2 linked regions of the Arabidopsis thaliana genome follow. The protein of the gene in region 1 interacts with the protein of each later gene in a pairwise test. Each region holds a gene or a part of one and is shown on either strand. Other genes may lie near its edges.

Region 1 (8,310 bases):
GACCGATAGGAGTAACAAAAAAAAAAAATATAGATTAAGCTCGCTTGTAGAACAAAGTTAAACCAATGTGTATATCGTAAGGCTGGAAACTCTACTCAGTTCTCTATTATGTGGCTTGTAGAGGGAAAGTGAGAAAGCAAAGTCTGAAGAGATCATTGGATTTTCAAGCTCAGCAGTCTCTATTCTAAAAGATGCTGAGCTTTCAGTCACTGAGATTGACGAAACTTCTCTAATCCACATGGATGTTGATCAAAGTTTCTTGCAAATTCCACAATCTGTTAAGGCTGCAATCTTTGAAAGTTTTGTGAGGCAGAACATATCTGAAGCGGAAGTTGATATCAACCCAAGTATTAAGCAGTTTGTGTGGAGTAATTATGGGTTTCCAACCAAAAGCAGCACAGGCTTTGTATATGCTGATGGCTCACTAGCACTATTCAATAAACTGGTAATTTGTTGTGCTCAAGAAGGTGGAACGCTTTGTTTACCTGCTGGTACAAATGGAAATTATGTTGCTGCTGCCAAATTTTTAAAAGCTAATGTCGTGAATATCCCTACCGAGTCTAGTGATGGCTTTAAGCTGACAGAAAAGACTCTAACGAAAGCACTCGAGTCTGTGAAGAAGCCGTGGGTTTGTATATCTGGACCAACGGTTAGCCCTACAGGCTTGGTGTACAGCAATGAGGAGATGGATATACTGTTGTCTACTTGTGCTAAGTTTGGAGCAAAGGTCATCATCGATACTTCATTCTCGGGATTAGAATACAGTGCAACTAGCTGGGATTTGAAGAACGCTTTGTCGAAAATGGATTCTTCCTTATCAGTTTCGCTGCTTGGATGTCTCTCTTTGAATTTGCTCAGTGGAGCTATTAAACTCGGGTTTCTAGTTTTGGATCAGTCTCTCATCGATGCCTTCCATACCCTCCCAGGCCTGAGCAAACCGCACAGCACTGTGAAATATGCCGCTAAGAAAATGTTGGCTTTGAAGGAAGAGAAAGCAAGTGACTTTCTGGATGCCGTTTCTGAAACCATTAAAACCTTGGAAGGCAGATCCAGACGCTTAAAAGAGGTACTCATTTCTGCCTATACTCCCTTTTGCATTATCATCAGAGCTCAGATTGTCTTAGATTGTTTGCAAATAACAAATGAATATTTCAAATGGTTAAAGCTGTGGGAAAGGCTTTAGTGGTACCGCTCAGGTCTTTTTGAATCTCATGTTGTTAACAATATTGCAGCAGAGGGGTAAATGGAGTAAATGTTGATCGCATAATCGCATGATGTTAGGTTGTTGATCTTCCTTTTTAAATTATTGGAACAGGTACTACAGAACTCTGGTTGGGAGGTTATCCAACCCTCAGCTGGAATCTCAATGGTGGCAAAGCCAAAAGCTTATCTCAACAAAAAAGTAAAGCTGAAAGCAGGAGATGGACAGGAAATCGTCGAGCTTACGGATTCAAATATGAGGGATGTGTTCCTCAGCCATACCGGTGTTTGCTTAAACAGCGGTTCCTGGACTGGAATCCCTGGTTACTGCCGGTTTTCATTTGCATTGGAAGATAGTGAGTTTGACAAGGCTATTGAATCGATAGCTCAGTTTAAAAGCGTCCTTGCTAACTGAAACGTGCCAGTTTCATTTACGATGTCATCAACTTGAACTAAAGGGCATTGTGCATTGCTGGTTCTGAGACTTAACACGTCGCTCTTCTTCTGCGTTCCTTTGTTCTGTTGTTTCTAAATAACTCGCTTCCCGTTTCTTGGTCAGCCCCATAACGGGTTTACTTTTTGGAAGTATGATATTTTCATGCTAATAAAGGAGTCATAAAACTTTGAATAAGTCTTATATTTTAATGTGAATAAGTCTCCTTGTTTCTATGATGTTTTTTTCTTTTATGTTCGATCTTGGGCTCTCTATGATGTTCCAGAAAAAAAGAATGTGTTCCAGAAAAGATATCAAATAAGTATCTCAAAATGAATCCAAAGCTAAATGGTTTTTGACACCTCTACCAATTCATACATTCTAGATCTGGTACTATGTATGTTTCGTGAACCCAAAGTTTCTGACTTTCTGTTTATGAACCTGTGTAACAATCATGATGTGAGAATTGGTACACAAAGAAGATTCATCTGTTAAATTACACCAGTGGCATTCTCACAATTTACAAAAGCTACATATCGTTCTATTTTTTACAGCCTGGTTAATAAAACGTGTACCAACCAAAACCTGTTTTTTTCTTCATGAAACCAAGACAGCAAAATTTAGAGTGTGACAGTGAAATAACTATAAAAGCCGATTCAGGTCGATGACCAGTCTCAACAGGCGATGTTTACTCCCCCTCCTTCACATGACATAACCTAGCCCGGCCAGGATTAAGCAGAGATTCTGACATTCTCCAACCCTATCAAAATGGAATTTTCAGATGCACACTCGATTAAATAACTTAAAAAGGATATAACAGGTTTCTCCCAAGTTACCTGTTCTGCAGCCCTGCTTTTGAAGACGCCATATGATGTGGAAACCATTTCACACGACTCAGCAATACGAGACTCGAGCTCATATTCCGTAGGAGCAAACGCAGGATCTAATTGCTCCACCGATCTTGGGTTACCATCTTTTGATTGATTCATGAAATGAAGAAGCACATGTGCCTGTGATATATGATCATGTAACCGAATGAGAAAATTTAGGCCAAAATTACTTCGTCTCAACAGAATAGTAATTAAACAGATACAAAATCATCCTACATGAAATGCTGCTTTGAGAATGTCATCTGAGTTAGCCTGATGTTTGAGCAGTGCATAGACTTTACCCTTGGTAGGGCTGTACGTTACCATGTATCTTTCTTTCTGCCATTAGTAAAGAGAATAAAGTCAATTACAGTATCAAGATAAAGCGGTCAAGGCTTGATATTAAGGGAAAAAACACATACATCGAAAAAAGGCTTTACAGCCATATACGTGCTGGGGTCTTGGAATGCATCCTTAAATCTGGCTCCTGTCAAATTGTATGAAAAACCTAATCAGTAAGGGTAATGAAAAAGGAATATAATTTATATGGAATGCTTGATAACACATACCAAGCATCACTGGCCGATCATCCACCCATGGAAAAGTGAATATCTTTTCTTGGATATTACCTTCCTGCAATGAGGGAACCCGCCCTGCAGATAGATGGAAAGTTCAATCTGTGAAGTTTGAATATGACAAACCTCAAAAGGGGTGGGAAATCAGAGCTCTAGGAGCACACTCAAGTGCATGCTAGCAAAGTGACATAGCTTACCCGTCTTAAGAAAGGACTCCACTGCTACTGTAAATCTAGCACGGTTTAGTGTATGCAATACTACAGATCTAACCTGTAAAGGACACAGCCACGTTTTTTGAGCAATAAATCAAGAGAACCCCAAGTACATAAAAAGAGATATACTTGAAACAGAGCTGGATTCTACCTCTTGGTACGAGCTCATGAGATAGCCACATGATAGAAGACCAAATGTTGTGACCAACGAAGGATTTCTTTTTGATATCAGGATGCTAAACCCAGTTCCCATCTTCACATAGAAAATAATAAAAACAAATGAAAATTTTAGAGCTCAAAAAGAGATCAAACAGAATCTATTTCGACCCTTAAGCAACAAGTAGCAAACTAGCAATGTAGCCACCTTTAGTTCAAATTTAATTCCGCTTGACAGATTAAACCAACAAAACACCCAAGAAACAATGAAAACTAATGTTGAAAAAGGGTCATACCAGATCTGCAATATTACCAACACACTCTCCTTTAGCAGTTACGTCTCCTATGTTTTCTCCTTTAGCAAAGGCTTTATAGATCGGTGTACGAGTAGACGTTGATGTTACTGCTGCAACATTCTGTGATAAAACAAATGATTGATACAAAAACAAAAATCAAAGACCAACAATAACATTGAAATCGAATAGCAATTATGAGTGATAAAAGATGATAAAACTACCTTAACAACATTAGCAGCACAAGCCAGTGGAAGAAAAAGATGTGGAACTGCAGCCGTCGCCAACTCTACACCAGCACCGAGCTCCATCAATAGATCACCAGCAAACCGTAACTGCAAGCCAAAGTGAGTTTAAACGTGAGAGAGAGAGTCAACCATCGCATTTGTTAAGTAATGGAATAAGTACCTGTTTCAAATCATAATCAAATTTCTTTCCCTGCCTCGCAAAAAGCATTTTCCCAACACGCCCAGCACCATCCTACAAGAATTACATTGATATTCAACAATGAGTGAGTAAGCCATGTTTTAAAGGATTGTTATACATGCATGATGCATGAAAGGATATACGAGAAAGGAAAACCTTGAGAATCCAATTGATGGCAACAGCAGCAGAAGCAGAACTGTTTCTTGAAGCTCCAACAGAATTAAGAAGAGTTTGAGTAGTAAACACACCCATAGCTCCACCAAAGAAATGCTACACAGTCAAAAAGATCAATCATTTACACTGAATTCTAAAAAAAAACTTTTAGAGAGTAACGAAACATACTTTCAAAGCTCTCCAAGTCATATAAGGAACATAAGACTCATTAACACTCCCAGGAAAGCCTTCAGGTACAACGTAAGATCTAAGAAACGAACCCACTTCCTGTAACAAATCACCAAAAACAAAAATTGAACACATTTCACATATTTAGGAAAATTCAAAAAAAGAGTTCATCAATGGAACAAGGCATACATCAAAAGGAGTCTGAGGAGACTCCAAGCTAATAGCACGAACTGAATTCTTCTTGAATCTCCCAGAACCATCGCTCTCAGCGACATACTTAAACCGACGGCCATCGATTTCTTCGCAACAGATCAATCTCAGAGTCGAATGAAGAAATTGAGAATCTGGAGGTGGAGGAGAGTGAGGAGGGAGATCATCAACGGGAGGAGAAGCGAGAGAGGCGCTGATTCGGAGAGTTTCACGGGAAAGGAGACGGACGGAGTCGGAGGCAATAGTGTCAGGTGGAGAATGGTGTGTGAGCTTGACGCTTGGCATTGTTGTTGTTGTAAATCTAATGAAGGATCGATGAAGAAGGGATTTTAATGGAGTGTCTCTCCGGCGGAGGAAACGAGGGAAGCTCTGTAGAAGAAGAAGCGAAACCAGTTGTTCCACAAACAAATTCACCTCCAATATTTTATTATTATATTTATCTCTTCTTTTATTCTTTTTAGTCCCACAGTGTATATCTGACAAAATAAAATAAAAATTCTGATCAAACTAGACATTTAAAATACTTTAAGTTACTTTCTCACCAAAAAAATAAAATATTTTAAGCTACATAATAGAAATAATCTATTGAATAAATTGTTGTGTTTTGCACCCTGATAATTCGATTTTTGTAACGAGGCAAATTTTGTTAATTAAATATCAGATTCAGCTCATAACATGTGAATGGTAAGTAAGCTGAAATCAAAATGTTCAGTAATGTAGTCTGATTGTGCCTCCTCCCACGTGATTATAGACTACTATCACTTGGAATTATCATTGGAAAAGTCATTACCTGAAATCTACCATAGAGCTATCAACATCACATCTTCCTTGCCATGTTTTATACATTCTGAGGCTCCGAATGGTGACTGCGTTTTGCGGTGCGGAAGAAGTGCGGTGCGGTTCAAATAGGAACGAAAATACATAGATACATATGTATATGTAAAGATTTTGATACTGTTACAGCACTGTTGCGATACGGTTTTGGTTACCATTCACAGCCTGAGTATCACCACCTACTTTTGTTTGTCATCTGTCAAAACATGAATCTCAAACATGTAGAGAAGCAAAGGAGGTGTTTGCATCAATGGCGAGGGATGACTCTAGCATCTCTAAGCCTCATTCGCGAATGATTATTGCCTTATCGGGCATGCGTGGCCAAATTACCAAGCCTTTAAGGGTCCATGTGGTAGGTAACCGTCCTTACCCATTATTCAAACTTTTGTACATCCCAAGATCCGACCCACCGTACCAAGAATTAGACTAGGAGTTTACACAACACGATTTACTTAAAACTAATTTACGCTATGAACTACATGATTCGAGTAGGAAATACAAAAAGTGAATCGTAAGATATCTCATTCAAGTTTGCTACATCTGATCCAATACCAAAACAGAAAGAGAGTGTATCATAGAGAAGAAAGATCAACACTCTCTTCAATATTTTAACCCAAAGAATGCATCCATTGAGAGAGAGAGAGGACCAATACAAGAAAACAAACATGTCAACTCAACAACATTTACACGCCCCCAAAATCATCTCATCAACAACTGGAGACTCTACAAAATAGAAAGCTTTTGGAAAAGCAGAGCTGAAAAGAGAAGATCAAAAGTTATTGACCATTCACCTTCTTAACAAATGTAAGATGGGTTTGGTTTCAATAGCTGCCATGAGATCTCGCTGATGAAACAGACTGAGCTGACACTGAAGCAGTCGGACTGTGGACATCCCCGTTGTTGCCCTTTGTCTTGCCACTCAATCTTTCCATCGCATCCACACATATGTCATTGAACCAATCGTCTTCTGGCAGCTCACTGCACATCATTCACAACCACATTTTAATCATTTATACTTACCATAAAGGCTAAAACATTGCAAAACACCCTCAAAACCGATGTACCTATATGGATCTATCCCTGTTGCGGTGAAAGCTGCTAAGGCTTTAGATATTATCTCATTAGTTCCCCTGTGCAAATTCCTCGATAGGTAGCGACCTTGGGATGCAAAGCATATGACAAACTTCATGTCCAAATACAGCTGTGACAGATGCAGGTTGTTTGTTAACAAAGGTACACAACAATTTCGATGCTCGCTGAATATACATATACAGAAGCAAGAATGAGTGTACAAACCTGCCGTAGGCCAAGAGGTCCCAAAGGTCGAGGACCTTCCTCAATGTCATCCCAAAAGCTCTGGTCTCCAGAAAGCCATAAGATCACAGTCTCTGTTAATCGCATCAACAAAGATATGGCGAATCTTTCTCTTCCTACAAACATATCTGCTGCTAGACTTGCCATCCTGTTAAGTTTGGCAAAAAGTTCCTGTTTTCCAACGACGCAACACCCAAAGTATAAGAATATTAAGCTAAAAAAGACAGAAAAAAATCATGTTCTTGAAGTGGACAGTAGACTATGACAAACATGGATTCAACTCTACAGTATCCAATCTGCCGATAAGAGTTCCCAAGTGACTACACATCTGGGTACAGTACTTCATAAAGGCTAACTGGACTGATGGAAATGAAACAACAACTACCTGGAATATCAGAGATGGAAAGAAGTCCACATCCTCGCCATTTTCATCTATGTTTACGTACATATCCGCAGACAGATGGCTATCTCCTTCCTCAGTAAAAATGAGATCCAAGGCATGCTGGCGACAAAACGCATCTTTTAACTTGTCAACAGTACTAAGTAAACGCCTCTTCCATTCTCGTTGTTCAGGATTACGATTTTGTCTGTCCAAAGGTCTCCTTAGGTCGTCTGTCCTCTGACCAGTCTGATCAAGAGAGAGTTTCATGGCAGCACGTGGAAGTAATTCATCCGCTAGCAATGATGCATTTGCGAGTAATGCAAGTTGGTTTGCCTCCGTCTCAGCCATTTGGACAATCTTATTACATGAACTTTCAAAATTTGGATCTTCTTCTTCTATCGAACCAGGAAGTGCTCTTACCAGCACATCTACATATGAGTTAAACACCCGAAACAGACCTTCCAGAGCTTTACTTCCCAATTGCATACTTAGCAGAGGTCCTACGTCCTCAAAGAAGTCCTGCAACAAAATACCATTATCAAAAGGATCTACTTGACAAATACATCCAAAGTTCATGACAGTCCACTTGGGAATCCTCTGCCTATCAGAGCAGCTAAGACAGAATTGGTACTGCCTAGAGTTTATAATAACTTTTCAGTGGGAACGCGAGTGCAAGTTCTAATCAATCGTCATCAACGATGGCTAGTCAATTTTACAGCTGATGTGTAAACTCATATTATAAGCAATTTTCATGGGATACTGGCATATCTAAGAGACACACCAGACGTCTAAGAGTGAAAAATATTTCATTTTTCTAGGCATGTCTGCATTTCCTAAGCACTTTATTTTTCTAGCACAACTTTAGAAAAAGGCTGAAAATTTCGGAGAAAAGTGTTTGTCAAGATAGTCTACCTGGACCATGAGATTAAACCGGTGGGCACTGGATGTAAGCTTATTCTGAAATGCTGTACTAGCATGACGACTACCAGCAGGAGGACTTGTCAGTACCCAATCATCTGCAGCAGCCATAGCTGCAGTGTTTTCTTCAATTCGCTTAAGATTTG
Region 2 (5,694 bases), on another chromosome or scaffold:
CTTTTAACTAGTTACTTATTTAGCTGATTGTTACCTGAGAAACATAAGACCGTTTAAGAAAAAACAAAAACATGGTTAAATGAGAAAACATAGTATAAAGGAAAGAAAAAAGAAGGTAATTATAATTTAAAATTAACAAAAATATAAATTGTCAGCAGTGGGGTTTGAACCCACGCCCTCGTAAGAGGACCAGAACTTAAGTCTGGCGCCTTAGACCACTCGGCCATACTGACATTTGTTAATATTCATACTTATTACATATATATAACCAGTAAATATACAAACATGTTATATTTTTATTTTTTGGACAAATAAAGTAACAAACACTTAAAAAATGAGCTCAGAGAAAATAAAAATCTAAATTGTCAGAAGTGGGGTTTGAACCCACGCCCTCTTACGAGGACCAGAACTTGAGTCTGGCGCCTTAGACCACTCGGCCATCCTGACTTGTTTGATATCAAGACATACTACAAATATATAATCGAGAAAAAACGATATTTGAGTAACGTACCATATTAGAAACACAGAAATCAATCAGTACATTAAAAATATAGATCAAGAGAACGACTACAATCATTGTGCTAATGCCACAAACCACTCCAAAAACAAAGCAAAGTTGTCAAGTAAAATTTGGGTTGAGATCTAACACATAACCTTTTAGATTACCAATTCACAACACAACACAACCCACGTGTATAAAAACCAGAGCATTGTGCACATTGCACTCCAAAGAAAACCCACACAAAACAAAAACCCCAAAAAAAACTAATCCTTCTTCTTGTCTTTCAACGGTCCTCTTGGGATTTTGCTGAATACCTTTGCGTCCAACACAGCGTATTGCTTCTTCAACTCAGCCATTGCTTTCTCACCGTATGAGTCTACTTTGTCTTCGTACTTGTCGTAGAAAAGAGGAACAGTGAAGAGCAGAACCAGAGCTGGACCAAATCAATAACCGTTCATCAGCAATGTCAGAATAAGAGAGAAGGCAGAAGCAAAATACTTTTAGCAACAGTAAGTGTTACCTATGTATGCCAATGTCAAGAAACTATAGCAGCCGCCCAAGATCGATAGAACCCACAATCCGGCAATAGCCTAATTCAATCAAACAGTACAATAAGTGTCAAACTTAAGTGAGACATCGAGAGAGGAGTAACGAGTAAGTCCAGGACAGTTTAAACATACAGAGAGGAACTTCTTGATATCCCTCCCCGACGCAATCTCACGAAGAGAAGAGATCCCACGGTTGATTTCGATTCTAAGACCCGAAGCAAGCTGAAGAAGAGGTTCTTCAGGGATATGAACTTCAGGAATCTTTGGTGGAGACCTGAAAGAGAATGAAAATTTGGTAACGAAGATGAGTCAAATAAGCTTGACAACCTTGACCTGTTTCATATGATTGACCACAAAACTTACTTGTGAATGAACATAGTGGCATTAGACCATAGAAACAACACAGCAAGAGCAACGATCATAACGTGACATAACAGAGTAAGAAGATGATACTCCATCAATTCAAATAGCACCCATGCCACTGTAGCACCGCCAAATACACCTCCTGACATTTTCTTGTCCTTCCACATAAATATATCTGCCGCTGCAATTAAAAAGATCACCAAATTAGGGTTTATCAATCACGAAATAAGAACCATATCATCAATAACTACAAGAATCTCACAAGATCATTATACACATTTCCAAAAAAAAAAAAATCAATTCCATCACAAATTCTCTCAAACTAGTCAGAAATCAAAATCGAAATCGAATTCAAATCAATGTAAACCTCTATGTAGATTCAAACGATCTTCTTCACGGATCCCTTAAACTAGTGAGAAAATCAAACAGATCAAGCCAACGCAAACGAATTCGTTTTAAAAAACTGAGAACAAATATCGAAACGGGATCAGAGTAAACATACGTTTTCCGCCGCCGAGAACCTTATGAACAGGTCTCTCTCTTCCGAACAAACGATAAACCTTCGATTTCAAAGACTTTGGAGACGATGACGAAGACTTCTTCTCGTTTTCGTCATCTGATGATGATGAAGACGACGAATCACCTTTGTGATGGATCTTCTCCGATAACTTCTCCATCAACGATTCCCTCTCTACAACCTCCACTGCTGGATCCAAATTAGGTGAAGATTCTTCATGCTTATGTTCATCCGCCATTGTTTCCGATTCAAGAGAAGAAGAAGAACGATCAAAGTTATTGTTCTAGCGTTTTCGTTACACCTCTGAGAAGAAAGATCTCGAAGTCGAATGAAAAAACCAACAATAAAAGGAGGAAAATTAGAATAAATCTGAGCCGTTGAATATTTTGTTTCTGATCTGATCCGTTGGTTGGTTCGGATCCAAACCTGCTGCTTCCTTAACTAGAGCGATGCTTAGGAAAAGATAAATGTCGTGGGGACATATAAAAAGTGTTTTCACAGGACCGAGATGTTAACGCTGTTAAGGATAACGGCTTTTTAAGTCACGTGTAATTAACGGCTCTGTTATTAAAATGGCTATTAAACTTTTCTGGTTCAGGTGTCACGCGGCTGGACAAAGAAACGGTCGAACCGGTGGTCATGTGACACGTGGTTGAATCGTAGCCGCTTGCTTATGTGACTCATGTACTTTCGGTCTGCATTCAAAAGACAATGATAATTTAATTATCTTGACACTAAATTAAAATAATATTTTGCTGCTGGCCAAAAAACTAGAAAATAAAAATATTAGAGAAGTAGGAACCGTCTCTTGGTTAAAAGAAGTGTTTAAAAAAGAATGCTCTAGAAAGTGAAAAAGCATTTAACTTGACAGCGTTAGCTCGAGTCGTAATATGGGCCCAATGAGCTAAAACAATGATGAAGCCCAGTTACTTTCTCATGTCCAAGAAAGCAAATATGATTCAAAACCGAAACCATGATTCTAAACCGGTCAAGAACCAAGGAACAGTGAAATTTTTGAGGCTTTTGAGTCAGTTCGGGTTTAAAAAGACCCTTTTCCCCAGCTTTCTTCATTCATTTTCAAGTTGATAACCAAATGGGCCAAACTAGTTATCGGCCCATAATAATAAGAGAGCTCAAAGACAGGCCCAATAATAAGTGCTCAAATTTGAAAACAATTGAACAGACAGAACCAATCATCCCAATGATCCCATCATCCCCCTTTGTTTGAATTTCTCATTTTTACTCCTTTACACTCTTTTTTTCTTCACAAGCTTTAACTGTGACTTTTTACATTTTTTAACAGTCCTACTCTAGATGAAATGGTTAAAAGTTGGTATTTGTGATACACAAAACGAAAAGAAAACACAACAAGTAGGATACGAGAACGAACATGAACATTGATTCATTCATTCAAAAAACCATAATCGTGGGGGATTAATCCTTTTACCAGTTAGAACTGTTCTTTGTGGAAATCGAACCTGGTAATTCCCGTCTGGTTAAATTCATGGCAGAGTGTTGAAAGTTCCTTCCCCAAACTTGGAACTCCACAATAGAACACTCCTGTAACAAACAAAAAAACATTCTTCAGACAAGGCAAATATACACCGCGATATCGAATATCATTTCAGTGAACTGATGTTTCTGTGTGTTACCAATTCTTGCGTTCCTATGTTTGGTGCTAATCTTTGATAAAACTTTCTTCCATTTTGGCCTCCCAAAATGTGTCCTTACCTAAAATAACCAAAAGTTGTTATACAAGATCAGAAAAGAGTGTTGTTTGTGATAAAGTAATCAACTAATCATTAAAGATCATTACCTTGGTTCCTGAAAAAATGTCGACGCCATTTTTGGCATGGTTTAACGTTTGGATCATAGTGAGAAGATTGGATCGAGTATCTCCTTCTTCGTAGACGCTAGTCAAGTAGTTGTGCATCTCAATAACACCCTTGTAGTTGTTCACAAGACAAATACGTCAGTGAGTAACTTGAAATCATACAATCTTTTGAATTTAAAATGAATAAGTGTATTGTTTTTACCTTTCTATCTGAATCAGCAATCTCGTTCATGATTTCTTTGAACCAATCGAACGAGCCTTGTTCTCGTGTTACCCAGTAAAAGTAAGCATTCTTGGTATTCAGCGTCTTCCGTTGAGTTTGCGGAATCCGACTCGCAGCTTCTGAGTTTAAGCAACTGAAACTGTGATCCGACGAGATGTTGCTGTTACTACAACTACCTGAGATGCATTCCTGAGAATATAACATAACTCCAAAAAAGTTTAGTTGAGATTCTGTTACTCATCAACAAGGTTTTTAAGCTTGTTATACTCACAGCTTGTTCCTGTTGCTTAATAATGTTATTGAGTAGATCTCTCAAAATGCTAACGAAAGGTGTTGCGCCGATTCCAAGGCCAACCAGTAATACCACATCATACTTCCAATGGTCTTGCGCTGGAGCGCCATAAGGTCCATCTATCAACAGCTCTGGAAAACTATATTACAAGAGAGAGTATCAAAATTCACATTCTGAGAATAATATATTGAATTTTAAAGAATTTTATGCACCTTCTTTGGTTTGGTACATCTGCTCTGAGAAGTCCGCTTTTTCCAGCTTCAGGGGCATGACATACCACTGAGAATGCCTTCTTAATCCCTTCTGTCCAATCACCGCGCTGACGAATGTGAATGCTGAGATAATCATCTCCAGGGGAAGAAGTAATAGAAAATGGATGCCTGGAGATGGAGTTTAGGACCGAGAATCTTTAAGTTAGTCTTTGTGGTGTCAAAGAACAGAGTTTGTATATGTTCTAGGATTGCAAGGAAAGCTATTAGGCTTGTTTTGGTTCCCTATAAAACACTCACCACTCAAATTTTGATACTGATGGACACTGAACAAATACATATTGTCCACTCTTGTAATCAAATGATGTAGGCTTAGACATGCGTAGCACAACAACGTTTCCGGGATAAATTACAACCTGAAACCAAATCATTTGAGTTGGTATAGAGATAATAGTAGATGATTGACAATGTGTCTTTTCATGTAATTCAGTTCAAAATGTAACTGTAAGTGAGATTTTACCTTACAGATTTCGACTGTGTAAAGCCTGGAACGGAAAAATCTAAAGATCCTCTCACCAACATAGAGTAAAACTGGTACAGCAAGATACATCCATACCTGTAGGATGCAGTATATGTTATTGTTACCACAGCCAATTATGTAAGCATGCAAAAAGTAAAATGGTAAAGAGTTTATGGAATGTACCGTTTTGCGGTACCATTTATGCTCGAGATAGAGGGAAACACCGTGGATGACTAAAAGGACGTAAACAGTTAGAAGTAAGTGATGTGAATACCAGAAGGCATTATATCCGGTTAGTTTGTCAAATGGCTTCGGCAACTTAGTTAAGTTCCGCCTGCATCTTCTACTGGCTAATGTGAATGCAATTAACATAAAAGCAACCATTATAATTCCAGTGATTCCCACAGGAGTATTCACCAAACCAAAGTATGTGGGTCTGGTCACACCAAAGTACTTAACCAAGTATCTTTTGTAATCTGTATCAGTAGATGCTAGAATCCTTGGGAAGTCACAGGCGAGGTGGCTGGTTGCATGAAGAAGCATTGCACTAATGATTGCTACAGAGATCGTCTGCGTTTAAGCAAAAACCGGAAAGTCGGATTCAGCTGAAGCATAGTATCTTTCTTATGAAAGGCAAGACAAAAAATGGTTTATGATTAACCTTGTGAAAATTAATGCAGTCATCG

What was found. The genes of interacting proteins can lie anywhere in the genome.
Region 2: the proteins of RUS6 (region 1) and BTI2 interact in a two-hybrid assay, tested with the Arabidopsis thaliana proteins (one large-scale study listed by BioGRID).

What each region holds. Positions count from the first base shown.
Region 1 is NC_003076.8:20,244,432-20,252,741, forward strand, and holds RUS6 (root UVB sensitive protein (Protein of unknown function, DUF647)), read right to left. Parts: upstream 5,192-8,310; 5' UTR 5,002-5,191; coding exon 4,696-5,001; intron 4,606-4,695; coding exon 4,507-4,605; intron 4,435-4,506; coding exon 4,321-4,434; intron 4,219-4,320; coding exon 4,147-4,218; intron 4,074-4,146; coding exon 3,963-4,073; intron 3,862-3,962; coding exon 3,742-3,861; intron 3,543-3,741; coding exon 3,441-3,542; intron 3,348-3,440; coding exon 3,275-3,347; intron 3,156-3,274; coding exon 3,072-3,155; intron 2,990-3,071; coding exon 2,925-2,989; intron 2,842-2,924; coding exon 2,740-2,841; intron 2,644-2,739; coding exon 2,470-2,643; intron 2,394-2,469; coding exon 2,322-2,393; 3' UTR 1,960-2,321; downstream 1-1,959. Other genes in the region: MMT (methionine S-methyltransferase), read left to right, coding at 122-1,066, 1,316-1,615; EXO84B (exocyst complex component 84B), read right to left, coding at 6,372-6,528, 6,615-6,751, 6,847-7,035, 7,250-7,765, 8,159-8,310. UniProt on the Arabidopsis thaliana protein: Required for normal embryo development.
Region 2 is NC_003075.7:6,837,411-6,843,104, forward strand, and holds BTI2 (VIRB2-interacting protein 2), read right to left. Parts: upstream 2,627-5,694; 5' UTR 2,169-2,626; coding exon 1,916-2,168; intron 1,595-1,915; coding exon 1,414-1,594; intron 1,325-1,413; coding exon 1,183-1,324; intron 1,093-1,182; coding exon 1,023-1,092; intron 936-1,022; coding exon 766-935; 3' UTR 501-765; downstream 1-500. Other genes in the region: AT4G11230 (Riboflavin synthase-like superfamily protein), read right to left, coding at 3,381-3,490, 3,583-3,661, 3,747-3,875, 3,967-4,176, 4,259-4,418, 4,492-4,659, 4,789-4,904, 5,009-5,104 and 2 more.